Linked DNA regions of Astyanax mexicanus. The protein of the gene in region 1 interacts with the protein of each later gene in a biochemical or structural test. Links are inferred from orthologs where the notes say so. Each region holds a gene or a part of one and is shown in the gene's direction. Other genes may lie near its edges. The genes, in order: rad51, rad54b, rad52 and fbxo18.

The links.
Region 2: the proteins of rad51 (region 1) and rad54b form a complex in vitro, tested with the Homo sapiens proteins (2 studies listed by BioGRID). The link is inferred for Astyanax mexicanus from reciprocal best matches to the Homo sapiens genes RAD51 and RAD54B.
Region 3: the proteins of rad51 (region 1) and rad52 form a complex in vitro, tested with the Homo sapiens proteins (6 studies listed by BioGRID). The link is inferred for Astyanax mexicanus from reciprocal best matches to the Homo sapiens genes RAD51 and RAD52.
Region 4: the proteins of rad51 (region 1) and fbxo18 form a complex in vitro, tested with the Homo sapiens proteins (2 studies listed by BioGRID, with this or other methods). The link is inferred for Astyanax mexicanus from reciprocal best matches to the Homo sapiens genes RAD51 and FBH1.

What each region holds. Positions count from the first base shown.
Region 1 is NC_064408.1:39,934,706-39,942,127, reverse strand, and holds the start of rad51 (DNA repair protein RAD51 homolog 1), read left to right. Parts: upstream 1-4,411; 5' UTR 4,412-4,496; intron 4,497-4,502; exon of another isoform or gene 4,503-4,530; intron 4,531-4,698; exon of another isoform or gene 4,699-5,001; intron 5,002-5,749; 5' UTR 5,750-5,759; coding exon 5,760-5,849; intron 5,850-6,358; coding exon 6,359-6,496; intron 6,497-6,795; coding exon 6,796-6,913; intron 6,914-7,232; coding exon 7,233-7,419; intron 7,420-7,422. Other genes in the region: adgrg11 (adhesion G-protein coupled receptor G2), read left to right, coding at 876-1,183, 2,235-2,365.
Region 2 is NC_064408.1:109,702,933-109,710,127, forward strand, and holds the start of rad54b (DNA repair and recombination protein RAD54B), read left to right. Parts: upstream 1-4,193; 5' UTR 4,194-4,303; intron 4,304-4,346; exon of another isoform or gene 4,347-5,670; intron 5,671-5,978; 5' UTR 5,979-5,982; coding exon 5,983-6,093; intron 6,094-6,953; coding exon 6,954-6,998; intron 6,999-7,195. UniProt on the Homo sapiens protein: Involved in DNA repair and mitotic recombination. May play an active role in recombination processes in concert with other members of the RAD52 epistasis group.
Region 3 is NC_064417.1:35,623,430-35,630,570, reverse strand, and holds the start of rad52 (DNA repair protein RAD52 homolog), read left to right. Parts: upstream 1-4,131; 5' UTR 4,132-4,585; coding exon 4,586-4,654; intron 4,655-6,257; coding exon 6,258-6,359; intron 6,360-6,456; coding exon 6,457-6,550; intron 6,551-6,684; coding exon 6,685-6,752; intron 6,753-6,836; coding exon 6,837-6,955; intron 6,956-7,071; coding exon 7,072-7,141. UniProt on the Homo sapiens protein: Involved in double-stranded break repair. Plays a central role in genetic recombination and DNA repair by promoting the annealing of complementary single-stranded DNA and by stimulation of the RAD51 recombinase.
Region 4 is NC_064409.1:7,139,462-7,147,326, forward strand, and holds the start of fbxo18 (F-box DNA helicase 1), read left to right. Parts: upstream 1-4,840; 5' UTR 4,841-5,076; coding exon 5,077-5,095; intron 5,096-6,147; coding exon 6,148-6,312; intron 6,313-7,584; coding exon 7,585-7,865. UniProt on the Homo sapiens protein: 3'-5' DNA helicase and substrate-recognition component of the SCF(FBH1) E3 ubiquitin ligase complex that plays a key role in response to stalled/damaged replication forks.

The sequences.
Region 1 (7,422 bases):
TCCTAGTAGCTCATTAATCTGTAGATATTTTAACACATTATCATTGTTGCATTGTGGCCTCTTTTTGGGGTTCAAAATACTTCACCACCCAAATATCTCACCAAATGCAGGCCTCTGTCTATTACTAATGACATAGTAAAGACTTTTCTCTGGTTTACATAGTGGTGGATGCCACATCCATTACTTTTTTCCTCATATTTTCTCTATATTTGTTTTGTCAAGAAAAGTACATTAAATTTCCGGATTAACATAGTTACATTTATAAAAGAAGGTGAGATATGGAAACCACCACATGCTAAGCTAGCACTGCTGCACATTTTCACCTCTTTAGCTAATGGGCTCCTAATTTAGACAATCCATAGATATTTTGGGGGAAAATGTGCACAGGCCTTAACGGTTCGGGTTTGGAACCTTTGTTGTTCACAGACAGAAATTTTCTAAAACGCTTTTTATTTTTGTCAGAGAGATTTTAAATTTAGGGGTTCCTACTGTAACATGATAAAGGAAAGTAATTTACATTTTTCTATTTTAGTTAGCTAACATATTGGCCCTAAATTTAAGTTTAATTTGTAAAAAAAAAAAAGTGTTTCCTTGGAGTCCTTTTGAGTTTCCTGGTTAATTTACAGACAAAAGTAAATTCGGCTCAGTTGTTAGTCAGAATATATTTATTGGCACAAAAAGACTTGGGATGGCAGTAATTTGTAAATTGATCATTAAGGTGCTATTTTGTGATTAAGGTTGCCTGCATGCTTATAGCAAGGCAATAAATACATGATTCGATTTCGAGCTAGGCCCTGATAGTGGGTGGGTGCCAGTAGTAAGTCAGAAGTTTCCATATGACTCTTTTGATCTTAACTTTGCCTTCTGCTCTAAAGGTGTTGGATCATAGACTCTTCTGTCCATTACGTTGTGAACATCGGCTACTACTCTGTAATCTTCGCCTTCACCTTCACGACCTTTGTGGTCATGTTGCGGTGGATCGTCCTCCTCAAAAGAACCACAGCAGGCCACAAAAAGGCAGCCTCTGGCTCGGGTAAGCGCACAGGGACAGGCACCTCGGACATCCTGACCATAATGGGCCTGTGCTTCACTCTTGGAGTCACTTGGGGCTTCGCCTTCTTCGCCTATGGTGCCCTGCGCCTCCCATCGTACTACATCTTCACAATTCTCAATTCCTTCCAAGGTAAGTCATGAAAGCAAAGAGCGTATCAATCAGTTTTACAATACTAACACTGCTTTTGAAACAGCCATGTTCTAAAAGTATCTGCAATGCCAGATATTATTGAGACTTGTGCACACTACACAACATTTTGAACAACTGTTTTTACAGATTATAAAAGACTGAGCCTGATTCTCACAGTTTTCTGATTTTTTGGGGGGAAATAGAAAATGTCTGTCACATAAAAAAAAAACTAGGTACGCTTTACAACTCCAACCTGCTCCTGAACTGAAACAAATGCCCCAAAACATTAGAACATAAGAAGTAAACTTCATCTTCATGTGGTGGCAGTTTGAATTCATTTGAGCACAAAAAGAAAACTAGTTCCTGTGTTTACTTTTTGTGCTCGGCTTTCGTTGGATATTAAGGGGACCAGTTTAGAGTCTCTGACCATTATACAATACTAGATTACACAAAGTCAGGTAAAAAATGAGACATGAGTCTATGCTCCTGACACAACTATTTGGGCCTGTTTGGACCCTACACAAGGTGCGTTATGATGCTCATTGCTATCTTACACATAATTAACCCCATCGACAGTCTATTTTCACGCCTTCTGCCTGCATCATTTATATAGCAACAGTGATTGTGAATATATCTACACCAAATCTACACTAAATCAAGCTGCATGGTGCGTGTTTGACGCTTCACCTATAGATAGGTGAAAATAGGGCCCATTATATTTAGATGTTGCCATCATAGCACTGACACTGCACATATGGAAAGTAGATTGAATTAAACAAAATACCAGTAAATCCTGGATGCATACATCAAATAAATCAAACAGGATACTGATTCAAATCACACCTATGTGTTTGTACAGGTAACGCTGATGATTTATATTATGTTAATAAAGACTGAGAAACAGACTGAGATTTAGATACATTTTTAGTTTGAGAAGTTTACTTCCTCTCAGTTTCAAAAATATTTGTCCAAGGCACACATATAAAAAAAATACAATTAAGTGATTACTTGATTATTTGCTTATTTAGGAACTTTTCATGTCTCTCCTCAGGATTCTTCCTGTTCATTTATTATTACAAAACCAGCAAGTTCATTGGGGATTCAACCATCTCAGCCGAAACCAGCAACACCACAGAGGCCACGCAGATGGAAAACCCCTACGAGAAGCAGAAAAACTTTTAGAAAAAATGTTTTAAATCTGTTGTTTTTTCTGTATTAGGTACTATCTCTAGTTCTTTGTTTTTATTATGTATATAATATGCGTAACATGAATATTTGACATGTTTATCTTTGATCAGTAAGAAATTTTATTTTTATGACTATATACAATGGAGTTTAAAAGGGGGTCTCAGAGTACAACAAAAATCAGAAACATTTTAATGATGTCGAATAGAGTCGGAATGGGTAGAGTTCAGTCAAGTCAAGTAGTGTAGAGGACATGCAGTGTAAAAGCACAGATGTTATGTAATGAACCCTGTACAGTTTACATAGTTTAGAAAAATCATTTGCACACCCAAAACATTATTGAGTCATTATTGTCAGAGTTCCTTATAGACCCCTTACCTTTACCAAAATGGGTGAATATTTAAATCTAAAGAAATGTGTGACTGGCTGTGTAAGGGGTTTTGTACATAAAGCTCAGATGCATTGCTTTTACACAAAATCTACATGATATAAATTATGTGTGATTTACATTAAAAAGGTTTTGCATGTTTAATTCTTATTGAGTACAGTGATGTAAATATGCAGCAGAAAATGATTATTAATGTATAAATAATATACTTTGTGATGTAATGTTTCTGTTCTGTTAATGTTGTAATGTCTGTTATGTGAATATGAATTGTCTCTAGTCTTGCTGTAACTTTAAGTGCTAGTAATTAACTATTATTTTTTTTTATTTTGAGTTTAAATATTAAATAAAATGCTTTATACTGGCACTGGCATAAAGTCAGATTACTGCACCACAACTCCACCAACACAGTCCACTCTACACTATGGGTCAGTTTCCCAGACAGAGATTAAGCCTAGACACATATTACATTTTCCTTTCAATGCAAAATCTCTGCTATAACTAAATTTAGAGCCTCCAGAGCGAGTCTGTGGTAAATACCAGCTGCTTTGGCACAGCCAGAGGACAGGGTGCTGCTGGCGCCACCTCCTGGAAACAGACGGTTATACTCCTCTTCAGACCTAGCGATCATGACTGGAACGACTCGAGATATTTATCATAGGACGCAGCGATTAAAGCATTTTTGCCAGGTGTGGGTGCTCAGTGAAACGTTTATTAATGACATTTTCTGACTGTTAGAGAACAAATGCAAAGATAGAAAACTGAATGTAAAAACTATTTTTTTATGTAGTGCAGTGTACAAGAAATACGTTTTCATCCATTTTCCAATCTACTTTTTTCCATCTCTGCCCCTCACAAGCGTACGGAGCCCCTAAGGTGACATTATGTAAAAAAAAAAAAAAAATAAAGGCGTGGGAAAGAGATCCCAAGGCTCGTTAATGAAAAAAAAAATATTTTCTTTATTTTCTGGTTTTTCAATTTTTGCATTTTAAGTTGGAGTATAACATCAGATTTGTGTTTACAAGTTACAAAAATTGACAAATCTGAAAAATGAAAGTATGACTGTATCAAACTAAATTCGAAATAAAGAAGAATGTGTTTTCATTCAATTTTTTTTTCATTTCAGCCTTTTGCAAACGGAATTTCAAGAACAATTAAAAGTTGAATCTCTTGATTTCCAGATTTGTCCATTTTTGTATCTTTTAACACAAATCTGATGGTATAATCCAACTTGCAAAATTAAAAAATCTGAAAATAAAATATTCATATTTAATTTTTTTCCTAAAATTACGATTGTGAAGGGCAGAGATGAAAAAACTAAAATTGGAAAAAAATATTAAAACCTTTTCTTGTACAATGCACTACATTAAAAATTAAACAACATAAAAAAATAATGAATTTTTACATCCAATTTTTGCATTTAGCCTCAAATGGTCAGAAAATTTAATTAATAAACGTTACATTGACCTTCAACTTTTAATTTTTCTTGAAATTCTGTTTGCAAAATGCTGAAATTAAAAACTTGATAATTGGAAAATTGGGTGAAACCCAATTTATTCTTCATTATAAATTCAGCTATAGTTAGGCAATTAAACTGCTAAAGGTTACACTGACGTGGGTGCATTTTTTTTATAGAAATAATATTTTTTTGGCAAAAAGATAAAAAACACGCCCGCTGTGACGTCGCTCGGTGTCACGTGACCGGTGACGCAGGCGCGGGAAACTCGGTTGTGAGGCCAGTCGGTGAGAGAGCTCCTCTACTTCTGTTTATTTATCTGTAATTCAGTTTATTTATTCAGTTATTAATGATATATCAATACAGCCCCAGAAACAGCAACAGTAGGCGACCTCTGACAGCGCCGGTCCGGGGCGGGTCTCAGCGGATTCAGCTGCATTAACGTGTTAGAAGAGGAGAGGCGCGTTAGCTGTTACTGTTACTGTTACTGTTGCTGCTGCCGCTGCCGCTCTGATTCAGTGCAGGCTAGCTGAACTGATCCAGATACAGCTGAGTTAACTCAATAACAGGAGCGCGGGGTTATCTGGACGCTCTGCGGTCAGAAACACTGCAGCACACCAGAGCAGAGCAACACACTCGACCACACTCGTCTCGGGTCATTTTGGTTTTGGCTAACTTAACTAAGCTCTCCTGGCTTTGTAAATTAAATCTAGCGAAAGCTACTACCGCCCTGTTGTTGTAGCTAAGCTAACGCTAGCTATAGCTATAGATTAGCTAAGTTAGGTGAACTAGGTACGATTGTTCACGATTAGTGATTTTCTCTTTACTGTTTTCTCTTTGTTTTTCTCGTGTTTGGTTTTAACACCGATTTATTCTTAGTTTCTGCTAGTTTTAAATTTATCTTAATGTTCTCACAGCGGGCAAACAGGGCAGAAAAGTTGTCAAATGTTCAAGTGGATAAATTCCATTTCTATGGGTTAGCTAACGCTAGCTAGGTTAGCTGTGCCAGATATGGTAAACATATTGTGTAACTAGAGCTGGGAGATATTGTGACCAATTATATATTTCTCTCTCTCTCTCTCAATCTAAGTCATAATTATAACCATTCATTCTTATAAGATTATGAAGCAGCTCCCTTTAAAAATACTGTTACATTAGAGTTAGAGTTTTTTTACAGTTTCTTTTTGACCGAAAAACAAATCTATCTAGTGAGATTCCCTCTGGCAGGTTCTGTACGTAAACATGTCCCATTTTGAAAATAAATGCAATGTAACAAGAATCCAATTAATCAAATGAATGTGACTAACCTTCCAGCTTTTGTTTTTTAGGATATCACGACTTTTTACCAAAATACAATATTTATTACGATATTATTAAAATAAATAATATTGAGCTTGTGTAGTGTGTAACAGAGCAGACTAGTTGTAACATTTTTAAATTAAATTCTTTAATTAAATAAAAAAAAATATTTGTTGATGGTACCCCCAGTATTAGTGTTTTAGCTTTGATTTGTGCTTGTATGTCTGTAAATATGGTCCAGGTAATTGAAGATGGCTATGAGAAGTGAAAGCAGAGTGGAGGTGGAGGCAGAAGTTGAAGAAGAGGATAGTTTTGGACCACAGCCGCTGAACCGCCTGGAGGTATGATTTAACACAACTAGCGATTCAGCCATGAGCAATGCCTCTTTTCTTTTAAAGAGCCAGATGCAAGAGTGAAGTGCAGTGATTTCTCATAAGCTGTTACATTTTAATTGAGTCTTTATTCTTTGGTCGATTTATCAGAAACACCTGCTAAATAAATATGTGGTCTTCAATCTGGCCTGTCCTTTTGGAGAGCTACTTTTATGCAGACTTTTGCTCAAACTAATCATTGATCTCAAAATTCATTAATTGGTTGAAATGGGTGTGTTTTAGTTTTGGGCAAGAGCTGAAACCTGCTCTGTGGTCAGAACTGATCACTGACGAATGACTAGAGAATCACTACATAAAGTCTGTCAACAGATGTGCAACAGTCTCTTACTAGTGCAATACTACCTTCCCATGGAGAGAGTGTGAAATTTTGCTTGTTGGATCTGTTTGTAACATATAGGTGTCACAAAGCTGTCGATAGTCCTTTCTGTTCATGAAGTGCTTGTTTCTGTGTTCTGCAGCAATGTGGTATCAGTGCCAGTGACCTGAAAAAGCTGGAAGATGCGGGATTTCACACCATCGAGGCTGTAGCATATGCCCCCAAAAAAGAACTGATCAACATTAAGGGCATCAGTGAGGCCAAAGCTGACAAGATTTTGGTGAGCTCAGCACTTCTTAATAATCATCCATTTTGCTATAGCAACTTGGAACTCGTGTTGCTGCTACTTCTCTACGTCTTTATATATTGTGTATTTTTCTTCTCTATTTTATTATTTTACGATTATACTTTTTACTTTGTCTTTTTATTCTTCTATTTTAAACAATTGCTCTTTGAGTGTAAACTGGACCGTGGGAATACAAATTTGTTCCACCTCATGTACCACATGTGATGTGAAATGACAATAAAATCTCCTTGATATTTAAATCCTTAAATTTATGTTTTTATTGTTTCCTGCAGGCAGAGGCTGCTAAACTGGTTCCAATGGGCTTCACAACAGCAACAGAATTTCACCAGCGGAGAGCTGAGATCATTCAGATTTCCACTGGTTCCAAAGAGCTGGACAAGCTTCTGCAGGGTGAGGAATTGTTTGACCTCAGTTGTAATGTAGCTTATAAAACAACATTGAAATGTTTTTTTAGTACACAATTCAAGGTTCTTTACATAAATCACAAATTAAATGGGCAGAAAAAGTAAGTAAAAACAGCAGAGCACAATTTAAGATGAAATGCATACATATAAAATGAAACCTTTTTCATTACTTCATGTTACTACGCTTTTGCACAAAAATGCTCCAGCCACTCACCACTGTGATGTCTGTTGCATTTGTATGTAGCCAACATGTATTTTGTTAATAGAGCCACTTTCTTGCTTTCTCTTGTTTTCCCTGTCTATAGGTGGTATTGAGACAGGTTCCATCACAGAGATGTTTGGGGAATTTCGTACAGGAAAGACTCAGCTTTGTCACACGTTAGCAGTCACATGTCAGCTGCCTATCGATCAGGGAGGAGGGGAAGGCAAAGCCATGTACATCGACACCGAGGGCACGTTCCGTCCAGAGAGACTTCTGGCTGTTGCTGAGAGGTG
Region 2 (7,195 bases), about 70 Mb from region 1:
AATTTAATTGAAGTCTATGTCAAATATTTTATTTCAAATAAGTTTTAAGCATTCCTATTGGTCCATTCATCATGAAAATTGAGCTGGGTATTTTTAATTGCATTTCGCTTCTATGGATATTTTGAGTTGTAGTGCAGTTTACAAAAAATAGTGGGTGGGAAAGTTTTCATTCATTTTTTCCAATTATAGTTTATAATTTAGTTTATAGTTTATAGTTTATTATAGTTCCAATTATCTCTGCACCTCATTAATGGATTTTCAGGAAAATTAAAAAAATATATATTTTCTTTATTTTCTGCTTTTTTTCCATTTCTGTATTTTGTAACAAGATAAATAGATAAATCTGAAAATATTATTATAGGGAATATTCACCTTTTCATTTTTTCTTTCTGTTTGCCAAAGGCTGAAATGAAAAACTATATAATTGAAAAATTGAATGAAAACCAAGTTCTTCTTCACTCTACTAAATGAAAAAAATAATAATTACGTTTTATACTCAATTTTCTATTTTTTAATTTAGATTGATACTTTAGAAAATTAAACTGCGAAACATTATACTGGCCGTGTACCTTACAAATGATCTTAAGAATTCTTTTGAGCCGACATGGCGAGTGCAGTTAAAAGAGTGCCTTTTAAAAAGCCAAATTAAAATGGATGGTTGATGTCTGTAAGAGCATTTGATAAAACAGTATTAAACAATTTAATAAGTTTACAGTAGAGTATTATAGAGTCTTCAAAGGGCTATGTATATATATATATATATATATATATATATATATATATATATATATATATATATATATATATATACGTATATATATACGTATATATATATATATATATATATATATATATATATATATATATATATATATATATATATATATATATATATATATGACTGTGACCTCAAACACACATAGTTTACATATACTGAATTTCTATTATATTATTTCCCTTGAAGGATCTTCTGCTTTGGCCCTTCCTCGTGAGTGGGATCTTAAGGTATACATGCTGTACATTTAATCCTGCACGTGTCCACTCAGGTGACCATTAATTACCACCAGGTCATCCTCACGAGAGGTCAACCTGCAGCCCAAAGGTCATCTATAGTGTTATACTCCACCTGCAGCTGTTGCAGCTGTTCACTGACTGGCATTCATTAAAGTTAAAGAAAAGTTAAAGACAGTGTGTGGACACTCTGGACAGGTTTTTTAAGGGAAACAGAGAAGGACATGTTTATTAAGGACAGTTGTGTGTGTGTCTGTCTGTGCCGTTACTCTCACTGCAATCTCCTGAATGATCTCTGCTCCTCGTGGCTGTGGTGGGATTACAAAGGATTACAGCCTCCCGGACTGTGATTGGATTATAATCTCAATGGCAACACTGCCACAGCAGCAGACATCAACAGCTGATTTATGCATGCATTTCTAAACATGCACCGGTCAACTGTGTCCTCTCAGACAGACACGCCAGATGTTAAATTATCAGACATATAGTGTAGTAGACTCCACTGTTTTACATGCATCAACTTCACATTTTGATTTTGCACATATTTACAGATCTCATGCATTTTTAATGTGCATGCAACTGCTTTATTCACAGTGCACATAACAGACACTCATTATACCACAAAACATAAATGCATTGTTCAGTAGGGTATTGCACTGTTGCATTACTACACTATTACACCAATATATTTTTATGTATCTGCTTAAATGCACACAATACACATACTTATACTCATATATATATATTCTTATTTATTTATGTATTTATTTATTTTTATCTATCTATTTATTTATTTATTTACTTCTATCACCACTACTTATTGCAGGACTATGCAAAAGATGCATCACCTACCTGCACACGGGTTTAATATTCCTCACATTCCAGGTCTTTTCTTGTCATATTTAGACCCCAGTACACTGGTATCCTCTCAGATGCTGCATGCAGAACACTTTAATGCTGTTTCTGCTCTTCACAAACACTGTGTTCGCTCCGCCCCTTTCAGGACCGGTTCAGCGCTCGACCAAGGGTTGCCAAGTTCCCGGTATTCACAGTTTTCTGGGGATATTTTTAAAATGTCATAATCAGTTTTAATTTAAAGTTTCACAATCAGTTCCTTCACCATTAGGACAGGATCAGTCTGCCGTGAATCTTGTTTTTTCTTGTGGACCAAATTGCCAGCTTTGCTGTCCCATGCCATTTTAATCCCATAATATTTAAAACCCTACTTTTTCCTTTTTAGAAATTAAAGTATTTAGGACCAAAAAAAACAAGTTCCTTAAAATATCCTAAACCCAAAGAGAGAGAGAGAGAGAGAGAGACAGAGAGAGAGAGAGAGAGAGAGAGAGAGAGAGAGATTTATTAATAAGAGGAAGTAACAATCACACAAAAAACTGTAATTATCATAAACTACAGCAAGAAAAACTCACAAATCATTACAGCACTTTTGCTGGAACTATAGATACATATTGTATGTGGTGATTCATTAACACTGACCATAGCCAAGGTGTCGGCAATTATTATAAAAAAAAAATCCTTGTAAAATAATTATATAACATTTTAATTCTTATTATTAATAATAAACTAAAATCAATACTAACAATAATGACATTATAAACCAAATATTTAAAAAAATGTATAAATTAGAGTTTAAATTTAAAAACAAAATAAGATTAACAGACCCAAATATCAAAAGGACATTGTATCATCGTTGATTTTTCCATCACTGTGGTTTTCATCTGTTTGTGACCTCAAGCTTAAACAAACTTGGGTTCTGCAGCAGGACAGTGATCCAAAACACACCAGCAAGTCCACCTATGAATGGCTGAAGCAAAACAAAGTTTTGACTTGAATCCTATTAAGATGCTGTGACATGACTTAAAAAAGGCAGTTCATGTTAGAAAATCCTGTAATGTGGTGAAATTAAAACAATTCTGTAAAGAAAAGTGGACCAAAATTCCTCCACAGCACTGTGAAAGACTCACTGCAAGGTACCACAAATGCTTGATTGCAGTTAATGCTGTTAAGTGTGGAATAACCAGTTATTAGATGTAGGGGGCAAACACTTTTTCACAAAGGGTCAGGTAGGATTGGATTGTTTTACTCCTTTAATAATAAAAACTTCATTTAAAACTGTATTTTGTGTTCACTTGTTCTGTCTTTGACTAATATTTAAATTAGTTTGATGATTTGAAACATTATAGAGTGAAAAACATGAATAGAAATCATGACGCTTCAAATACTTTTTCTCACCACTGTATATAACAGTGAACAGTATTTTAGCCAGTCATGCAATGACCAATATTCTTCAGTAACTGTGACACATTCACTTCGCGTGGACTGCAGTAAAGAAAGAATGTGTCTTTAAAATAGTATGATTGTTGTGTTATGCTATTCTATTATTGCTATGTCCGTGACATTTAATGGTCTAATATTGTTTATCACAAAAATGTCTGGGAAGACACACTTCGGTAAAAAAAAAAAAGAGACTACTAAAAAAATGCTTAGTTTCTTTGCTTTTACCAAATTAAAAAACATCTGCAATTGAATCAAGCGAAATATTGAAACAATTTTCACCAGGAATGGCATAAAGTTATCCAAAAGCAGTGTGTAAGACTGGTGGAGGAGAACATGCCAAGATGCATGAAAACCATAATTAAAAAACAGGGTTATTCCAACAAATATTGATTTCTGAACTCTAAAACTTTATGAATATAAACTTGTTTTCTTTGCATTATTTGAGGTTTGAAAGCTCTGCATTTTTTTTTTCAGCCATTTCTCATTTTCTGCAAATAAATGATCTAAATTACAATATTTTGGAATTTGGAAGAAATGTTGTCCGTAGTTTATAGAATAAAGCAACAATGTTCATTTTACTTAAACATATACCTATAAATAGCGAAATCAGAGAAACTGAAGTGATCTCTTAATTTTTTCCAGAGCTGTATATCGTCCACAAATTATTTTTATTGTGACAGGCTGACGTTTATTCAATGTTCTTTGCTACTAGGCGAGGTTTTAAGTGTAGTACACTTTTTTAAATGAGTTCTAGTAGTTTTTTTCTATTTACATTTTCTTTCCTTTCAACGTCTGTGACAACATTAGATAGATGTTGGGTTAGTTTTTAGGAGTTTTGCTGGACCTGGCAACATAAGCTCGACCAATCAGCGATGAGCTATGTCTTCCCGGCGCGAAACTCTGTGTAGGTTTCCCAGCAGCGGTAGGAGCTAAAGTAAGCGGAGAAGTTGTAGTTGAGCATTTGTAGTATTTATACGGGAGGATTTCACGATAAAAGGCAAGTGAGCGATATTTTAATCTAAAAACGATTAAACTTCAGCTGTTCACAGCGGCTGTCTGTTTTACTGCTTCTTACAGATATATTTCACAGCTGTAGTTATCTTAGCTAGCATTAGCTCCTCAATCTGACAACAACAACAACAAAATGCAGCTAATTTCAGTTTAGCTAGCAACCTAGCTGCCCCTGTAAGTTACCACCTCCCAGTTTATACACTCACTCATCATACAGGACACTTGACACTCTCGCTAGTTAGTTCTTAACTTCGCTAATTCTAGTGCTGGACGGTATGACCAAAAATGTAAATCACGGTATTCTTCAAGATTCTGACAGTTTCACCGTCTATCACGGTATTTTTATTATAATTTATTTATAGTTTTTTGCATGACTGGGCTTTATTATAGGTTTGTGACTTAAGTTACTCTACTGTCAGGAGTACATATAGCTAGCTAATATCAAATATTAAGGCTTTAACTCTTTTAGACTCTTTTAGCATCCATTGCAGTGGACATCTTTTTTTATTATGTTTTGTTGCACATCACACTATTTTAGAGCTGTTGTCCATCAGATAGGACTGGGCGATATGCACAGAGCAGCTAACCTGTAATTTAGGTGTTGGATCTGTCTCAGCACTGCAGTGTTATAGTGTGATGTGATGAAATTGTGGGATGTGTGATCTATTATAGTGTGATGATGTGTGATATTGTATGTTATCGTGTGATGTGTTGATATGTGTTATGTGATATTTGTTGTTGTGTGTTATAGTGTGATGTCATTGTGTGATGTGTTATTGTGTGATCTATTATAGTGTGGTGTGATGTGATGTGTTATAGTGTGTTATGTTATCGTGTGATATGTTTTGTTATGTGATATTGTGTGATGTGATATTGTGTGTTATAGTGTGATCTATTATAGTGTGATCTATTATAGTGTGATGTGATGTGTTATAGTGTGTTGTGTTATTGTGTAATGTGTTACTGTGTGATGTGTTGTGCTGGTACAAGTAGATTAGACACAGCACTAGCGTTTCAACTAGTGATTATTTTGGTAGTCGATTAATCTGACAAATATTCTTTTTCCAATTTGTCAAAAAAAATCTGCTTAAACAGCTGTTCTGATATTTAGTAAGACATTATGTAATCTGTTGTGTCTGCCACTTTTGTTGACCAAGCTAAATGTGATTTGTGTTTCTGTCCCCAGCACTTTGTGTAGTGCAGTGTCAAATTAACGATTAGTCGTCATTTTTTGAATAATCAGTATTGTCCATTATGTCCATTAACTAATTGTGTTGCAGCCCTGCACAGCAGTGATATCAGCATGACCACCACAACCAACTTGACCAATCTATAACAAATTGGATTAGTGCAGTAAGAGATGTACAGTATTTACATTTGTTCATCACAGGGAGCTTTTTACGTCTATGCCAGTTATTCATTTGTTTGCTCCTCAGCTAAAATTCAACTCAACTGTACAGTTTAAAATATTTTTATGATGAATGCAATTTAAATGTGATTCATTTTGATTAATATTCACAGGGCAAGTAATTAATTATTTTTTTTTTTACTCGCCTGACAGCACTATTATTAATAATAGACCTCTTAATTCTGACTTCTTAATATCACTGATTCATTAAAACTTGGCACAAACTTAACAGTTTTGATGTGTTTTATCTCAGCATTATGCGCCGCTCTGCAGCCCCCAGTCAGCTTCAGGGCAATGCTGTGAAGAGGCCGAGGTTTATACCTCCTGCCCCCTCACAGACTGGAGTACTGGGCAATGGAATTAACAAGGTAAGCTAACTAAGGATTTTAGGAAAAGTTGATAGGCTATCTCAGTGTATGAATGCTGATATGGGTTCAGTAATGTCTTTTACATGACAAAAAAATCCAGGTGGTCAGGTAAAGAGCTGATAGTAAATTAGTTCGTTTTTTTACTCTGTTACATGGATTGCATTTCAAAGGTGCATAGCATCTGATTTGACAGGATACTTCAGTGTATACTTCAGTGTACTTCAGGTTTATGTTGTTTTAACCCAGTTTACTTCACTAGGCATGTACCAGGTCTCCAAAGTAACACAATCCACTGTCCCATGGACAGCTCTTTTGGAAAGGCAAATTTGAGCTGTTTATTAGATGATTGCTGGCTGGTTGAAATATGAAATTTTCCTAATACTTAGCACAGAATCTGTTTACAGATACATTCCCACATTTCAACATAGAGCCAGTCAGGTTGCTGGTAACACCAGGAGATGATGCCTAGAAGATGAAGTCTAACCAAAGATGTTATGGCAGTAGAATAATATGCAGATTAATACAACGACAATACACAATGAATACAACAATAAAGTGTAATGTCAAAAAATATATTTTGGGAATGATTATGATTATTAGTTTGTGGGAGAGCATGATAGAACGCTTCAGGCAAATCTGGGAAAGTTGTGAAAAAAGTTTGTCTGGAGGCCTGATGTGCACTTGCATGAAATCTGAGACTGAATTTATATTCTAAACTAAGCAGCATAGAAAATTATTTTAAACAATATATTTTAGAATTAAGCATATATAAATGTTTGTTATTAATAATGAGTATTTAATTTTTCAAAAATAGCCACATACCATAATACCCCATCCATGTTTTTTACTTCTTGCAACAGCATCACCAGTCTCAGAGAGTGGAGAGCCATGTTCCTGCACCTGAGGTCAGTAATTATTTTTTTTAAAATAACTTATTCTCTGTCATCGGAGCAAATGTTTGATTGGCTTTTGTCATTTAAAAATGTCATACTTACACCTCGAGAGTGTAACTAATTTCACTTCCAAGTTGTAGTTTAGGTCTTTAATGCTACACTTTACAATCTGTATACCATTTTGTTTCCTTTTTTTCCCAGTAAATAAA
Region 3 (7,141 bases), on another chromosome or scaffold:
GCTGCTGCTGCTGCTTGGTTTGGCCGCCCATCATTCCTCTGCTTTAGTCGTAGTATAAGCCACTCCTGCTTTTTTTTGCTGGCAGACTCGCAGACTGCCCGAGCAGACAGACACCAGACAGACTGGTGGCGCTGCCGCCGCTGCTGCTGCTGCTACCTGGACCTTCAGACGATGCAACACTATGTAATGGGGTGTAACAGTACAGAACATTCACTGTTCGGTTCACACCTCGGTATAAACCCCACGGTTCGGTACGGTTGGTGGAAAATATAAAGAAGCTGGGCATTCTCTATAGCCTACCCTTTATTAACTTCATAATAACAAAGAAACTTCATGATAACCATGGGCTGTGACCAAAATGGCTCCCTACTCCCTCATTAGTGTATTGCTCTATGGAGACAATATGGCCCAATCCCATTTCACCCCTTGGCCCTACCACTTATCCCTACCCCTTCTTTTTGAGTGTGAAATCTTCCCCCTAATAATTGGGACACCCTTCAAAAGCACCCAATATGTCACCAGGACCTCTAAAGTTCAGTAACCTAGCTGCAGGTTAACAGGTTTACCTTAGGGCATTGTATGTCTTCATAAAGGGGGGAGGTGGTGTAGAAATTAATTATTATTGTCCATTCCTTAATTTCTCTGTGATGGGGAGCTGAAATAAGCTTAAATTGGCTTTTATTTTATTTTTCCATTACGCAGACATCCCAAGTTGCAAAAGTTGATTTCAGGGAGGGTGGAACAGGAAAGTGAGCTAGCTAGCTAGCTAGCTACTGAGACAAACTACTAGCGATATTTTTTATGCTTGTTATAAAGAATTCGACCATAAAACATTGAAACTTCACATTAAACCAAAAAAATGTTCTAAGCATTACTTTGTGTTGCCATGTTACCAGTGATTCTCATTTCCCTTCGTTTGAAGTGCTTCTGAAAAATCTCTATATGAAGGGCTAAGAAGCTAAGAAGCCCTCCAGTCTAACAAGAAACAGGACACGCCTAAAACAGAGGGCTAGGGGTATAGTGTAGGGCCAAGGGGGGAAATGGGATTGGGCCTAGTAGTTCACTCAGTAGTGGTGAAAACAGCAGTGAATTCGGACATTCCCTTTATCATGCACCAGCACCGGTCGCATAAACACACACCTGAGTGGTTGAGCCATGTTTACTCCATAAACACACGAACTGAGCTCTGAATTAAAGTTCATGGAGTAATCTCTGACGGTTAAATTTACGCTGTTTACAACATGGAGAAAAACCTGAAATTAACAGCGTGCAGCGGCTCCCAATGTTGCCAGTTTGGATGGTTTCATGCTAAATCGCTGTGCTTTGACGGGTGGACAAATCTACGTTAAGAAATTAAACTCATCAGTGTTGTAGATAACCTTTCAGAGAGCTAGTCCTGCTAGTGGAAAGTTAAATAAGCAGTGTTTGTGTTAGTTATTAAGCTTGGTATAAGTATTTACTTCTTTTGTTGCTTGTAAATTTATTTTTATGAACTGTAATTACTTTACATGGTTCTTGTGTCTTATGATACACTAAACTCATTTATAAAACACACATGCAGATAAAATCATTTAAATATATATATATATATATATATATATATATATATATATATATATATATATATATATTTTTTTTTTTTTTTTTCTAATTCTAATTTATTTAAGATATTTATGGTATTTTATTTAAGATCCTGTTGGAATAAACCCAGTAATATTGTTATACTGAACATTAGCGGTTTGGGCCGTTTTCTTTGCTTTTTTGGCAGATTTGAAACACGTTTTACCCGTAAATTCAGTTTACCTGAATCCCTCTGTGACAATTTGGCAACCCTGAGGGCTCTGTCTGCTCCTTTTGTACATATGTCTGTTGCTTAGTAGTGATTCCCGCAATGCATTCTGGGACACATTCAGCTCGCGTAGTAAGCAGCGATGTTTACTATAAATCAGGGTGATTATCCCGCTTAATTTCCACCTTACGATTCGTTCACTCAGAGAAAAACAGCTGTCGTAATCAATAATGCCCTAAATAGTTAAATAGGGAGCTATTTCAGTCACAGCCAGTAGCAAGTTACTTATAGCAACAGTGCTACAGCTACACTTTCCGGGTGCAACATCCTGTGAACAATAGTTCCACATTAGGTTCATTGGTTCCATAAGTCTCGTATAGACTGCCTGTGTTGTGTATTCTGCATGTGTTTGCGGAAACCAAACTATGACCTCCAGATCATGGTGTTTTGTAAAGAATACAAGTACCGATACACCCCAACTATGTAATAAACATGCATTGCAAATCACATCTACACTGTGAGGTGTCCGAATGTTTGTAGACCAATCATCTATGGTTTGTTTTGAAATTAAGCACAATGATGTGGACTTCTGTTCTTTGATGCAGTAACACTTTATAATCTTCAAAGAAGGCTTTATAGTAAATGTTGGAACATAATAGCTGTGAGCAGAGCAGGTGGGCATTGTCCAGGTCAAGACCAGCTGGTCACACACAAAAAAATAAACCCTTTACCCTATGCTGATCAAAAGCTAGAAAGCCTACCAGCGTAGGGTGTTTTTATTCTGGGAACCAGTTGGTCTTTAGCTAGGTGATGTTGGGTTGAGATCCACAGAGCCAGAGAGTTCTGCTTCACAGCACAATGCTGGAAGGCTTTGTACCCCTCTAGTCAGATCTAGTATTGGGCATGGTGACTTTAGAATTAAGCATTGATGCACTACATTTCCCATTTCCTATTGTCAATGCTTTTCTGTAAGCATGCAGCAAATATTGCACCTTTAAAACTCTTTAAATCTTACACTCTCAAAATAAAGGAACGTTTCTGAATGGATCTGGATTTTACATATATTTTGCCAGATTAAATGGGTTTGTTATGTACAGGAAAACCCCATTGGTTCTTAGTGGGATCTTTTAAAGTGTATGTAACATTTTTTTTACTAAATAATAGGTCTGAAAAATAAGAAAAGGCCTAGGCTTAAAATAAACTGAGCAGGTAATAGAAACAAAAACGTGGGCTGCATGAAATTAATTTAGCATATGAGACTTGTTCCTGTTCCTTTGTCATAATACTATTGAAATCAGGTCACAACAATTTTGACCTAAATGTGAAATTCTCAGTAGGGGGTCCATTCATGTCCAGTCCTGTTTCCATCCCATCTGTCAGGATGCTTGGCAGACTGGACTCCCAGTCCCAGTAATCCCAGAGACGTTATTAATGATGCCTATAAGGATTTGGGTAATCCTTGCTAGTGTCTATGAAGGCGACATTTAAAGCCAGTGTTTCATTTTATTTCAAATGCAGGAATTTATCATAGCATAAAATATCAGTAAAAATGTCTTACGGACAGAAATGCTTTTCTAATATTAATACAATTATTACTGCATTTTAGCTAATGAATATAATATAATATAATACAAGAAAGGACATTCGAGTTAAATTAAAACAAACAACCATACAGCTTTAACAAATTAAACAAAACATTTACACTGACAACACATCTCATTCATTACCTAACAAATTTACCTTTATTAATTATTATAAGTTTATTAGAACAGTTTTTATTTCTGAAGTCTCGACCATTAATATAAAGCAAAGGTTTGAACTTGTAGACGGTGTAAAAATGCACGAGATTCCTCAGCATTAATTAAACCTTTAGGGATAGAGTTAACTACATTTAACATTTTATTATTTATATTTTTAGCAGGTTTTCAAACTCAAAGCATTCCGAGGTGATACACAAGATGAACTGATAAAAATACAATTAATAGCTAAATAAAGTAGTAAACAAAGCAGTTTACAGCTTGGCACTCTTGTTTCCATCTGTCTAAATTGTCTTAGTAGAAATACTCTATTAACCAGAAACCTTAACTTAAAACTTAACTTGGTCTAACAAGTTTGAGGACCACTGCTTTACAGGAAAAGACCACTAAATATCTCTGTAAGGATAATTGTGCAGATTCGTCCAACCAATCAGCTACATAATGAATATCCCTATAATAATATAATATAATATAATATAATATAATATAATATAATATAATATAATATAATATAATATAATATAATATAATATAATATAATACCGCACGTTTTTGATATTTGCATATGACGTACGACGCACGGGTAGTCGGTCACGTGATTCGTACGTTTATTTCTTTCCTTGACGCGGGAAGTTACGATTTCCAGTCTCTTAAATCGATTTTTAAACGCTAAAAACACTTTTATCCACCCATACAGTCAGAATAACTGCGGGCACGCTGCCAGTTAAAGTTAAGAGTTGAGGTTAGGAGTTAAAGTTAGCCGGACTCTCGGAGCTGCAGGGCGGCGGAGGACCTGTGCAGCTCAGTGAATGGAGCTCTACGGGTAGACGCTAAAATGTATCTGTTAGCTGCGCAGCTAAGCTAACTAACTTATCAGTGACCTAACTGATACTGATGTTACTGTGCACCATGTGACCCTGCGTATATTTTATTTGAGAAAGAGCTGTAAACCTCTTTTTGTACCTGCGTGTTAGCTACGTTATCAATGTGTGTTTAGCAAAGCTAGACTGAGTGAAAGATCCAGCAGCTAACTTACAATATGGAGCAGAGCAGGGAGAGACCAGAAGACAGAAACCAGCAGCGGACATCCAGCATGTGCTTTGGACAGGTAAACTTCAGCCAGGTTAATTTAGGGATCCTCAGTCCTACACATTCACATACATGCCAGATTATTCTACACTAGATACTACACTACTATTGCAAGTGCAGTAAAGAAGCAGTAGTGCCCTAAACCAAGTCTTCATTTTGAGGTACTAGTTCATAATTATGAGATATTAGATGTGGGGGTCTGACTCAGTTTCTCGTAATAATTACTTAGTATCTCATAATTAGTATTAAGAGATAGCATCTCATAATTATGACTTAGTATCTCATAGTAATGACTTAGTGTATCATAATTATACCTATGAGTTAGTATCCCATAATAAATGAGCTAAATCAGGGATGATGGTGGTAAACACAAACATGTATAGTGTGTTAGCCCGAGGCCTGAAACTTTAGTTTTGAAGTTCTGCAGCACACCTGATTCAGCTCATGAAGGACTGACTTGATCATTATCTAGTGATGAGACTCTGGAACAGGGAAACATGAAACTGCACAGTGCAGGTGGATTACAGGGCTGGAGCTAGGAAACTCTGAGCTACATGATTTAATCATAAAGGACAGTCTGGATGAGGTCTAGGTGTGCTTATGTACCATATATTGACAAAAGTATTTGCCCAACCATTCAAATCGTTGAATGCAGGCGTTACAAACACTCCCATGGCCAAATGTGTATAAAACCAAACACCTAGGCAGACAGACCAATTCTACTAACATTACTGAACGAATAGATTGCTCTCAGGGGCTCAGTTAATTCCAGCGTGATACAGTGATAGAATTTGAGTCATACAGTTTTCTTGGTTTGGAAGTAGAAGTGACTGAATGCAACTTGCTCTTTCAACGTAAAAAGACAGAGTGGGGTTAGAGGATGCTGAGGAGCATAGTGTACATAATAAGGTTATCATCTTTTTTGCAAAGTCAATTTCTACAGGCCTCCAATACATCAAGTGGCCTTCAGGTTTACTCAAGAATAGTTCACATAATAGGATTCCATCCAAACCTTACATCACCAAATGCAAGGCAGGCAAATGGGTACTTATGGAAATATAGTGTATATAATGATAACATACAGAAAGTAGTACATCCACATCTGATTCTCTCTAACACATGCCAATGTTCACTGTCTTCAATCTAACTGTCTGCTGCAGACCATGCATTTTACATTTAGCATTACACAAAGTTTACTATCCATGTTCCTTCAGCAAATGCATGTAATTTCTTAAACCAATTTTTGTCATAATATAAAGTTTTTCTTTTGTACTTATAAAATGTTGCTTTTTTATGGGGTTCTAAGCAGTGTTATATAGTAAGTTCCGTTAAACTAAACTAAAGTGAATGTAAAGAATCTATACAGAAAGGTGTTTTGTTGCAATAAATGACAATTACTATTGTCACCCGTACACACACACAGAACAAACAAAAAAAAAACACATCATATCAAAGTCCCCATCTCTGTTGTGCTCATACATTAAAGTAGTCCATTATTTTTTTAACCAGATCCAGATATTTCTATTTTAATCCAGGCTCATCCAATCTGTGGATATGAAACAGTAGTAGATATTAGTAAAAATAGTTATAATGATGGTGATTTATATATGTTTTTTTTCCAGTTCAAATACACTGCTGAGGAGTACCAGGCAATTCAGAAGGCTCTTGGACAGAAACTTGGACCAGAGTACATTAGTACTAGACAGGCTGGTGGGGGGCAAAAGGCAAGGTGTCCTGTTTAGTAATCTACATTATTATAATGTTTGCTATTTGTTGTACAAGTATCTGAGTGTTCTGTCTGTCTGATCTGTCTGTTTGCAGGTGTGTTACATTGAGGGTCACAAAGTGATCGGTTTAGCTAATGAAATGTTTGGGTACAATGGCTGGTCTCATTCAATTACTCAACAAAATGTTGGTAAGGACAATCTTAATAATGTGTGCATGTATTATTATTATTATTATTATTATATGAAAAATATAACACCGATTTATTAGATTTTTGAACATTGGCATGTGATTATACTTACTGAGTTTTTTCACTCATTACAGACTTTGTGGACCTGATTAATGGTAAATTTTATGTTGGGGTCAGTGCATTTGTGAAAGTGCAACTAAAGGTAATACCTTTTGTCAAATAAAATAATTTGTCTGCATTTCATGGGTAGTCTTTACACACAGTAATGAGCATGTCTTTCTTACAGGATGGATCATACCATGAAGATGTGGGATATGGTGTGAGTGAGGGCTTGAAGTCTAAAGCTCTGTCGCTGGAGAAGGCAAGAAAAGAGGCTGTCACAGATGGACTGAAAAGAGCACTGAAGTAATTTAACCATTTCTTTAACACAAAAAAATATAAAATCTGTAAACATTTATTATATGAAGTGTAATGGGGTGTGGAACATGTTTGAACTGACTTCTGTGAACCTCTCTATGAAGATGCTTTGGAAATGCTCTTGGAAACTGCATCCTCAACAAGGAGTACCTTGTAGCCATCAACAAGATTCCC
Region 4 (7,865 bases), on another chromosome or scaffold:
CTCCACCAGTCTTACACACTGCTTTTGAATAACTTTATGCCTTTACTCCTGGTGCAAAAATTCAAGCAGTTCAGTTTGGTTTGATGGCTTGTGATCATCCATCTACCTCTTGATTATATTCCAGAGGTTTTCAATTTGGTAAAATCAAAGAAACTAAGAATTTCAGCTTTAAGTCAGTGAAGTCAATGATTTAACAAAAGGCATGAAGATCTTTGGATCACTGAGGTATACATTTGTTGACATAAGGAGATAAAACTGCCACTAATAAAGGGCTGGATCAGATTCCCTCTATTTAAAGCTCTCAGAGACAGAGTGAGTGAGTGAGTGAGTGGTTTAGATTAGTCCTCAGGGGGGAATGAGCTACATTAGGAGACGCTGTCTCTCTCTCTCTTTCTCTCGTCTCTTTGCATGATGTCATGAACACCCCAGTCACGAGGAGGCTCCTCACTCCAAGCTGACTCAACCAAACACACCCCTCTCTCTTTCTTTCTCTTTGCCTCACACACACACACATTAGACTTGTGCTGAGTAGAGCTTTCTGCTACGTGCAGCTTCACACGGACAGAGCTTAGCAAAGCCACCTTCCAGTCCAGCCACTGGAAAAAATGACAGGAACCCATATGCCTTGTATGAGAAGTCTCTAATGATGTGATTCCCCACACTAAGTGAATTCCCCTTATTAACTGCATAAACTGTGGGCTGGGAGAGCCAAGTGGACCAAAGGTCCCGCTGTTGCTCACAGAGTTTTTTGTGTGTAATATCCTTCAAATGTAATATGTGTAGATTTCTCATTTGAGTTGACTATTTGATTTGACTATTCAATGCAGAACGCAAAAAATGACTTCAGACGTATGACTTTAGACGCATGCATAACAACATACACGTCACAACATATCAAACTAATAAGGCATTTAAGATAAGATAAGATAACATAAAATAATCCTTTATTAATCCCACAATGGGGAAATTTGCAATGTTACAGCAGCACAGAGAAAAGGAGAGAAAAATATCAGGAAAATATATAAACAAATAACAATAAATCTATACATTCAAAAGATTACAAAAAATATAATAAAGAAAAATATATACATCTAGTGCAGCTAAGATAAGGTCAGAGCAGATATGATTATGGTAGGTTGTGACCAGTATTATTGCACAAGGACTAACAGTGAATAAATAGCAAATAAATCATAGATGGGAAGGTAAGAAAAATATTGCCCGTTAAACATATTGCACAAATGGTGATAAAGAGATCACAGGACACATTGTAAATAGAATATTGCACACGATAAAGCACTACAGCTATATTGAGTAAGTAAGTATATGAAAGGCATTTTAACAGCCAAAGCTGTTTTACTAAGCGGTATCAGAGCATGCATGTCATAAACAGCCCAAAAAAACTGTCAATATCTGTCAATAATCAATCAAAATCAATAAAATTAGGCAAGAACAAATAAAAAGAAAATATAGTCAAGAACCAAAAAAGAACAAAACAAAGAAAAGGAGGAAAAAGAGCAAAGCGGAAAAAAGTTACGTTGATGTAGGTGTTGTGAGTATTAACAAGGATAAGAGTAATACAATAACTCAGTTGTGCTCTCGGCAAAGAAGAAAAGCTGCCAAGTGGGAGGCAGGGGAGGGTTCAGGCAGGCGGGATAAAGGAGCTACAGTACCTGTGAGATTAAATAAGCACCGGGCTTTAGCCTGCAGCATCTGCTGCTGAAGATGAAAACTAAAGACAGAGCTGAAGTTCTGCTGGGAGAGCTGCTGGAGGACACAACACCTTTTCTTATTTGCTCTGAGGACTGGAGGTGTTCACCAGAATCTAAAAATGGAAAATTTGTCCAAAAATAATTTGGCACAAGCACGCATAGCCACAACTTTTAACAAACAACACTGACTTAGAAACTACTAGATGTAGTTTAGTAGTGTTACATTACAAGGGACTAGATTTTCCCACATCATTTATAAAAACAGAATATTATCGATTTTCAAAACCTAATTGTTTGTTAGGAATTAAATCCGAGATTCACTCAATATCACAATAAAACTTTTGCCTATGAACTAAACTTGTCCTTCCGCTAAAATCCAATTTTTCTTGTTCTTTGTAAAATACAATATGTCTCTCTGAGTTGTATATGGATGCTGCACATGAAACTCTTCCTAAACCTCCATTTTCTGCAGTAGCAAGTAAAAGAAAATGCTCAGAAAAATTAGTTGATCAGGAAAAGCAACGTGTCTACGTCAACCTGTGAATTGGTATTCATGGCCACGCCCACCTTGGCTCGCAACCGCCCACAGGCAGAGCTGTGTGTCTATGGAACACCACCAGCGAAGTACAACTGAGATAGGTAGGTGTGTATATTAGAACAATTCTGTTTACACTAGTTTAATGTAAAACATTTTACTTTCTGGACCTGGACTACCCACCTCTGTGTGTAAGTAACTAGGTTTACACAGAATCTCCAGTGGATTTTGCATTTTACAGAGACTCTAAGACTAGGTCAGTGGCTGAACTGCACTTGTTGTAACATAACATATATAACATATAACATTGCAAAGACTGTTAGTGTAAAAATGTCTTTATTTTAAAACGTTATGTTTGCATGTATGAATATTCATGAGCAAGAGCCGAAATCCTGTCAAGAATCCCGAAAGAATGATTAATGACTTTTTGGCTTGAAATATAATTTAATAATACAAAAAGAAAGCATGCTTTTCTGATTGCCCACTGTTTTATCCGGATCATCATTAAATATAAAATGTAAAGTGTAGATTCACTAGTGGTTTTGGATAGTAAATACGAGGGCTGCATTTAAAGTGTAGACATTAAAGTGGCACTAAACCCCCTGATTTCTGCTGACTCCACCCTCAGCTCAAATTTGAAAAAGGCAAAAAAAATTGGTAGGGGTTGTTTGAGAGGGGCTCTGTGTGATGTATGGGTTTATAAACTGGGCAGGAGTCCATAGCACAGTTGAACCTGAGAGGGGCTGCAGAGACTAAGCAGGACTGCTATCGTTCATTACGTAAAAGGAACACATTTCAGCTATATGGTTTGGAGTTAAGTGGCTCTTAGGACTGTTTTCTTTTTTCTCTACGGTGAACCATTTCACAACAAACCACTCTCAATGACTTTGTTTACGTCATAGCCATTGGATTATGCCAATTTAGAACAATTGGTGGAATTTCACCTTCTACAGTTAAGTGAACTTTGTTGATGTTTTGCTCATACAGACCTAATTACCATGAGTTTAAGTGAGAGTGTATAAATGAAAAGCTACTCCAGTACTTGTCATCCTAAACCTGTTTTGTAAAAAAGGGTTCTTTGGAGCAGTGCCATGGTACAGGGGGCTCTGAAACCAATCCCTAGCCTCCCCAGACAGTCCAGTCTTGTTTTTTTTTCAGTCTCAACTCACACAAAGGGATAGAGCAAAATGTGGACCACTGACACAGAAGAAATATCAATCCCCTATGAAACTAAGTACCCAAAGTGGGTAGAGGATCATTAAAGCATTCAGAGAGGTAAAAAAAGTATTTTAGTATGGTGATGTTGAGCAGTGTAGTCTGTGTTAGAGCTTTAAAAGGCAGATAATAAGAGAAAGTGGTTCTCAGTTCAGTTCATTTTAGCATTAAATTACGGTCATTAGTTTATACTAATTAAAACACACCTGACCCAAATAATCACCTAACAACTAACTAATCAACTAACTATCTGCCCTCGCTGAGGCAAGCTAAGTAAAAAACTAGCAGGACAAAGTTACTCCAGAACCACAGAGCTAACCCAGCTAACTTAAGAACCATAGAGTCTAAAATACTTCATATAAAAAGATATGTGTATTTTTTTCCCACTGAAACCTATTATAAGAACAAATGTTAACGTAGCTTAATGTACTAAAACAACGAGCCAGAAACACAAACATCTCTAATTTATTTCACCGCGTAAAACGTGTTACAGTGTTTAAAACTGGTCTCAGCTCTCCTCAGTGAGGGCAGTTAGTTCAGTAGTTGGATCAGCTGGGTTTAATATGGTAGAAACATACGCTGGTGTTGCGCCGAAAAGACTCCCCTGCCGATCTCTGCAGCTGCACTGTAGCATTAGCTTAAAGCTAACATTTTTCTAATCACAACTCTTAATTAAACGATCTCAAAAGTGAAGTTTAGGAGTAAAATGTACACAGAATAAAACGTACAGGGTTCTGAACATATTTATTTACCACAGAATGTGATAGAGCTTTTTTTAAAAAAGCCCATTCATTTTCCTTACAAGGAAAAAGCCATACGAGGACTACAGATTGACCCACCTCAGTGGTCTATGTGCAAGGGTTGGTTATAATATAGGCTCCTAGGACATATTCAGTTAAAGCATATTTTTAATCATAAAAAGCACAGTTTCGTTAAATAATACTAAGCATATATTTTTTTATTACATCACCAGTAAAAAATTTGCACAGCCAAATAAAGTATACTTTAAAAAAAGTTTTCTAAAATACTAAATGTTTGAAAAAGTAGAAAAAGTATACTTTAATTATTCCGCATATAGTTCAAGTACGCTATTATTTTATTTAAATGCACAACTTTATTACTAGGTCATGGATAAGATCCCCAGTCTTTGCAAAATCTTAGCCTGTACTTAGTACCCTGAGAAGACATTACTGCCATCTAGTGCTTTTACTTGTGCAAAATATATATATATATATATATATATATATATATATAAAAAATCTTGTGTTATTGTTTAAATATGTTTGCTACATATATATTGTCGTTTTACAACACTGGAGTTATTCGTAATTACTTTTAAATAAAAATGTGTTCTTCTGTTTTTAGAAACAGGACTTTTACTGTGAATTTATTGTGGAAATGGACCGGAAGTTTACAAAGCGATAGTCTCACGGTGCGAGAAGCTCCGCAGTGAGGGAGTTTAAAGCGCCCTTTAACTTCGTTTATTTTACTTTAAGAGAATACTTTTCTAAACAGAAACAGCGGACGCATCGATGGGATAACGCGGCGATGCTCACAGGCCCTTTAAACCGGTATTGAGCGTGCAGTGTGCGGACTGTGTGCGGAGTTTATTCAGCCATGGAGTCGGCCTCCAGAGGTGCTTCACTCGCTCACAGATACACAGATACCTGTAGCTACAGGCTGTATTTCTGTATAGCCAACGCTAACCCAGCTAGCGTTCACTCTCTAATAAAACCTCTACAGCAGCTAAACATGCTGCAGTTCTGCCTACATTAGACTGATTTAATGTTTCGTATATTAAATAAATTATCGAGTTAAATGTTTTAAAGTAAGAGAGGTAAAACTAGCTAACCTAGCCTGCTTGCTTGTTTGTGTGTGTATGTATGCTGTTTGTGCTTGCTTATATGTATGTTTGTGTGTGTGGTAAATAGGGCTGCAACTATTAGTCGATATAATCGACAGGGTCGATTAATTAAATTTGTCGACTACAAATTTCATTGTCGACTAATCGTTCATTTATAACAGTCCCGCATAACACAAAGTGTTGATGACAAAAATTCAATGTGAAATGTGTAAATGGATCATATCCAACATAACATATTTAACTTACTCACTGAATATCAGTATTTTGCACATTTAAACAACATCTAGACATTTAAATGCCTTTAAAAGTCATCTTCAGCTGTTTCTATTGGTTTTAGAGATGGAGGAAATGGCAGAAATAATCGGTGACTAATCGACTAATCAAAAAAATAATAATCAAATTAGTCGACCACCAAAATAATCATTAGTTGCAGCCCTAGTGGAAAACGGTTGTATGTTTATTCATTTGAGAGGAAACTATGTATTAAATTGACCAAATAGATTTTTTTATTAAAGGAAAATGTCTTGATTTAAGAGAATGAATTTAAGAAAAGATTTATTAAATTGATAGAATGCCTTGATGAATTGAGTGAAAAGTGTGATAAATTAAGATGAGTAAGAGATAAGATAAGCCTTTGTTAATCACACAATGGGGGAAATTTGCAATGTTTTAGTATTGCAGAGGACAGAACAGAGGTGTCAGGAAATGCACAACAGTAAAATATATAAGATACATATCTTCATTTATATGAAAATGAAGCTTCAGTACAGATCTGTCTATTCATTCTTCTTAATATTATTAATTCTGTTTCTCTGATGATTTAGGAAAGGCCAAACGCAGGCACCTCAGTGCTTCTGAGTGCCACAGTTTGAGCCAAAGCAAAACTGGCAGCCAGTCGATCACCCAGCCTTTCACTGTCAACCTTAACAACGGTGACCCGAATCGTGGGATGCAACCAAGGACTCCCACTAAAAGAAGAAGAAGAAGAGGTATGTGTATGTATGTATATGTGACACACAGTTGGCTAAGTACTTAGTTCAAGAAATTCAACCAGTATCTTTGGCCCCATCCCATTTCTCTTTTGTACCCTTAACCCTTGTTTTAGAGTGTAACAGAGTTACAAGGGGAAGGGTGAAATCATCCCCCTAAGAATCGTGAAAACCCTTCAAGAACCTTATACAGATATAGGTTATAGCAGTGGTATGCAAAAGTTCAGTAACCTAACTGCTGATTAACTATCGTATCATAACTATTGTGATATCAAAAGTCTTCAGAAAGGGGGCAGATTGTGCAGCAGTTAATTATTATTGTCATTACTTAATTCCTCTTTGATGAGGAGCTGAAAATAGCTAGCTACTGAGAAGAACAACTTTTTTTATGCTTGTTATGAACAAAATGGTGGTTATTGTAATTTTTACCAAGAAAAAAATCTTACATTTGGTTCCTTGTGCTGTCATATTGCCAGTAATTTCTCATAGCCCTGAAAGTAATCAAGTACAGTGCTGATGTAACAGAATAGACAGTTACTGTTCTTCAAAAGCTTTTGGCTGATGTTGCCTTGACAGAACTTTGAAAAGGAGAAGTTGGTTGTCTCATGTGAAAATATTGAAATTCTATTGAGCTAAGTCTAAACTAAATCTACCTTAAACCAGTAAACCATTACACTAGGGTTAGCTGACTAAGAAATTAGTCAGACTTTTACAATTAACATGTGCTGTTTGCGTTGTTAGGGTAGCTTAACTCTTCCACTGGGTTTGGTTTGTTTTACACAGTGAAAAATGCAAGTGCACTATAATGCATCACAACGTGCCAGGCAAGAAACCAGATACAGTAAAAAGGTCCTGTGTTCTGAACTAGAGCATATTTCTGTGCAGTTTTATATGGAGCAGCAGCAGGGGTGACATTGTTCACAATGGTCTTAATTATCTGGGTAGTATACCAGGTTAAACTACAACTGAGACCACTTATGGTACTTTCAAGGGTGTTGAGATGCATTGTGTGTTATGTTTTGGTCTGTATCAAAGTATGTTTTCTGTATTCACACCTGGCCAAATAAAACGTATCAAGGGCAGAATCAAACCCTATTTAACATGTAGAATAAAAATCCATAGAAATCTCCCAGTATACATGAAAATACAATTATTCGGCACATTTTTCATGCCTTATCTGATTTTTTTAAATTATTGTTTCAAAAAGTTAATTCATAAGCTTCCCCTGTAGCTTATTTTAATATGGGTTAATATGTTGGTTATGTTTTGCAGCAACAGAAGGCGACAAGCAGCAAAGAGAAATCACCAAATTCTTCGCTTCAACTGGAATCCTCAGTAGCAGCCCTCAGAAAGTTAAAGGTTCGCCTACAGTCAAGACAGAGAATCAGCAGAATGGACATGTCTCACCAAAAGAGGAGGAAGAAGACATTACAATAGACTACTTGGAGGGCATTACTGAAGACATGTTTGGGGATGATGAGGAGTTTGAAATGGGTGTGAGACCTATAAAGAAAGAAAAAATTGAAGAAGAAGAAGAAGAAGAGGAGGAGATG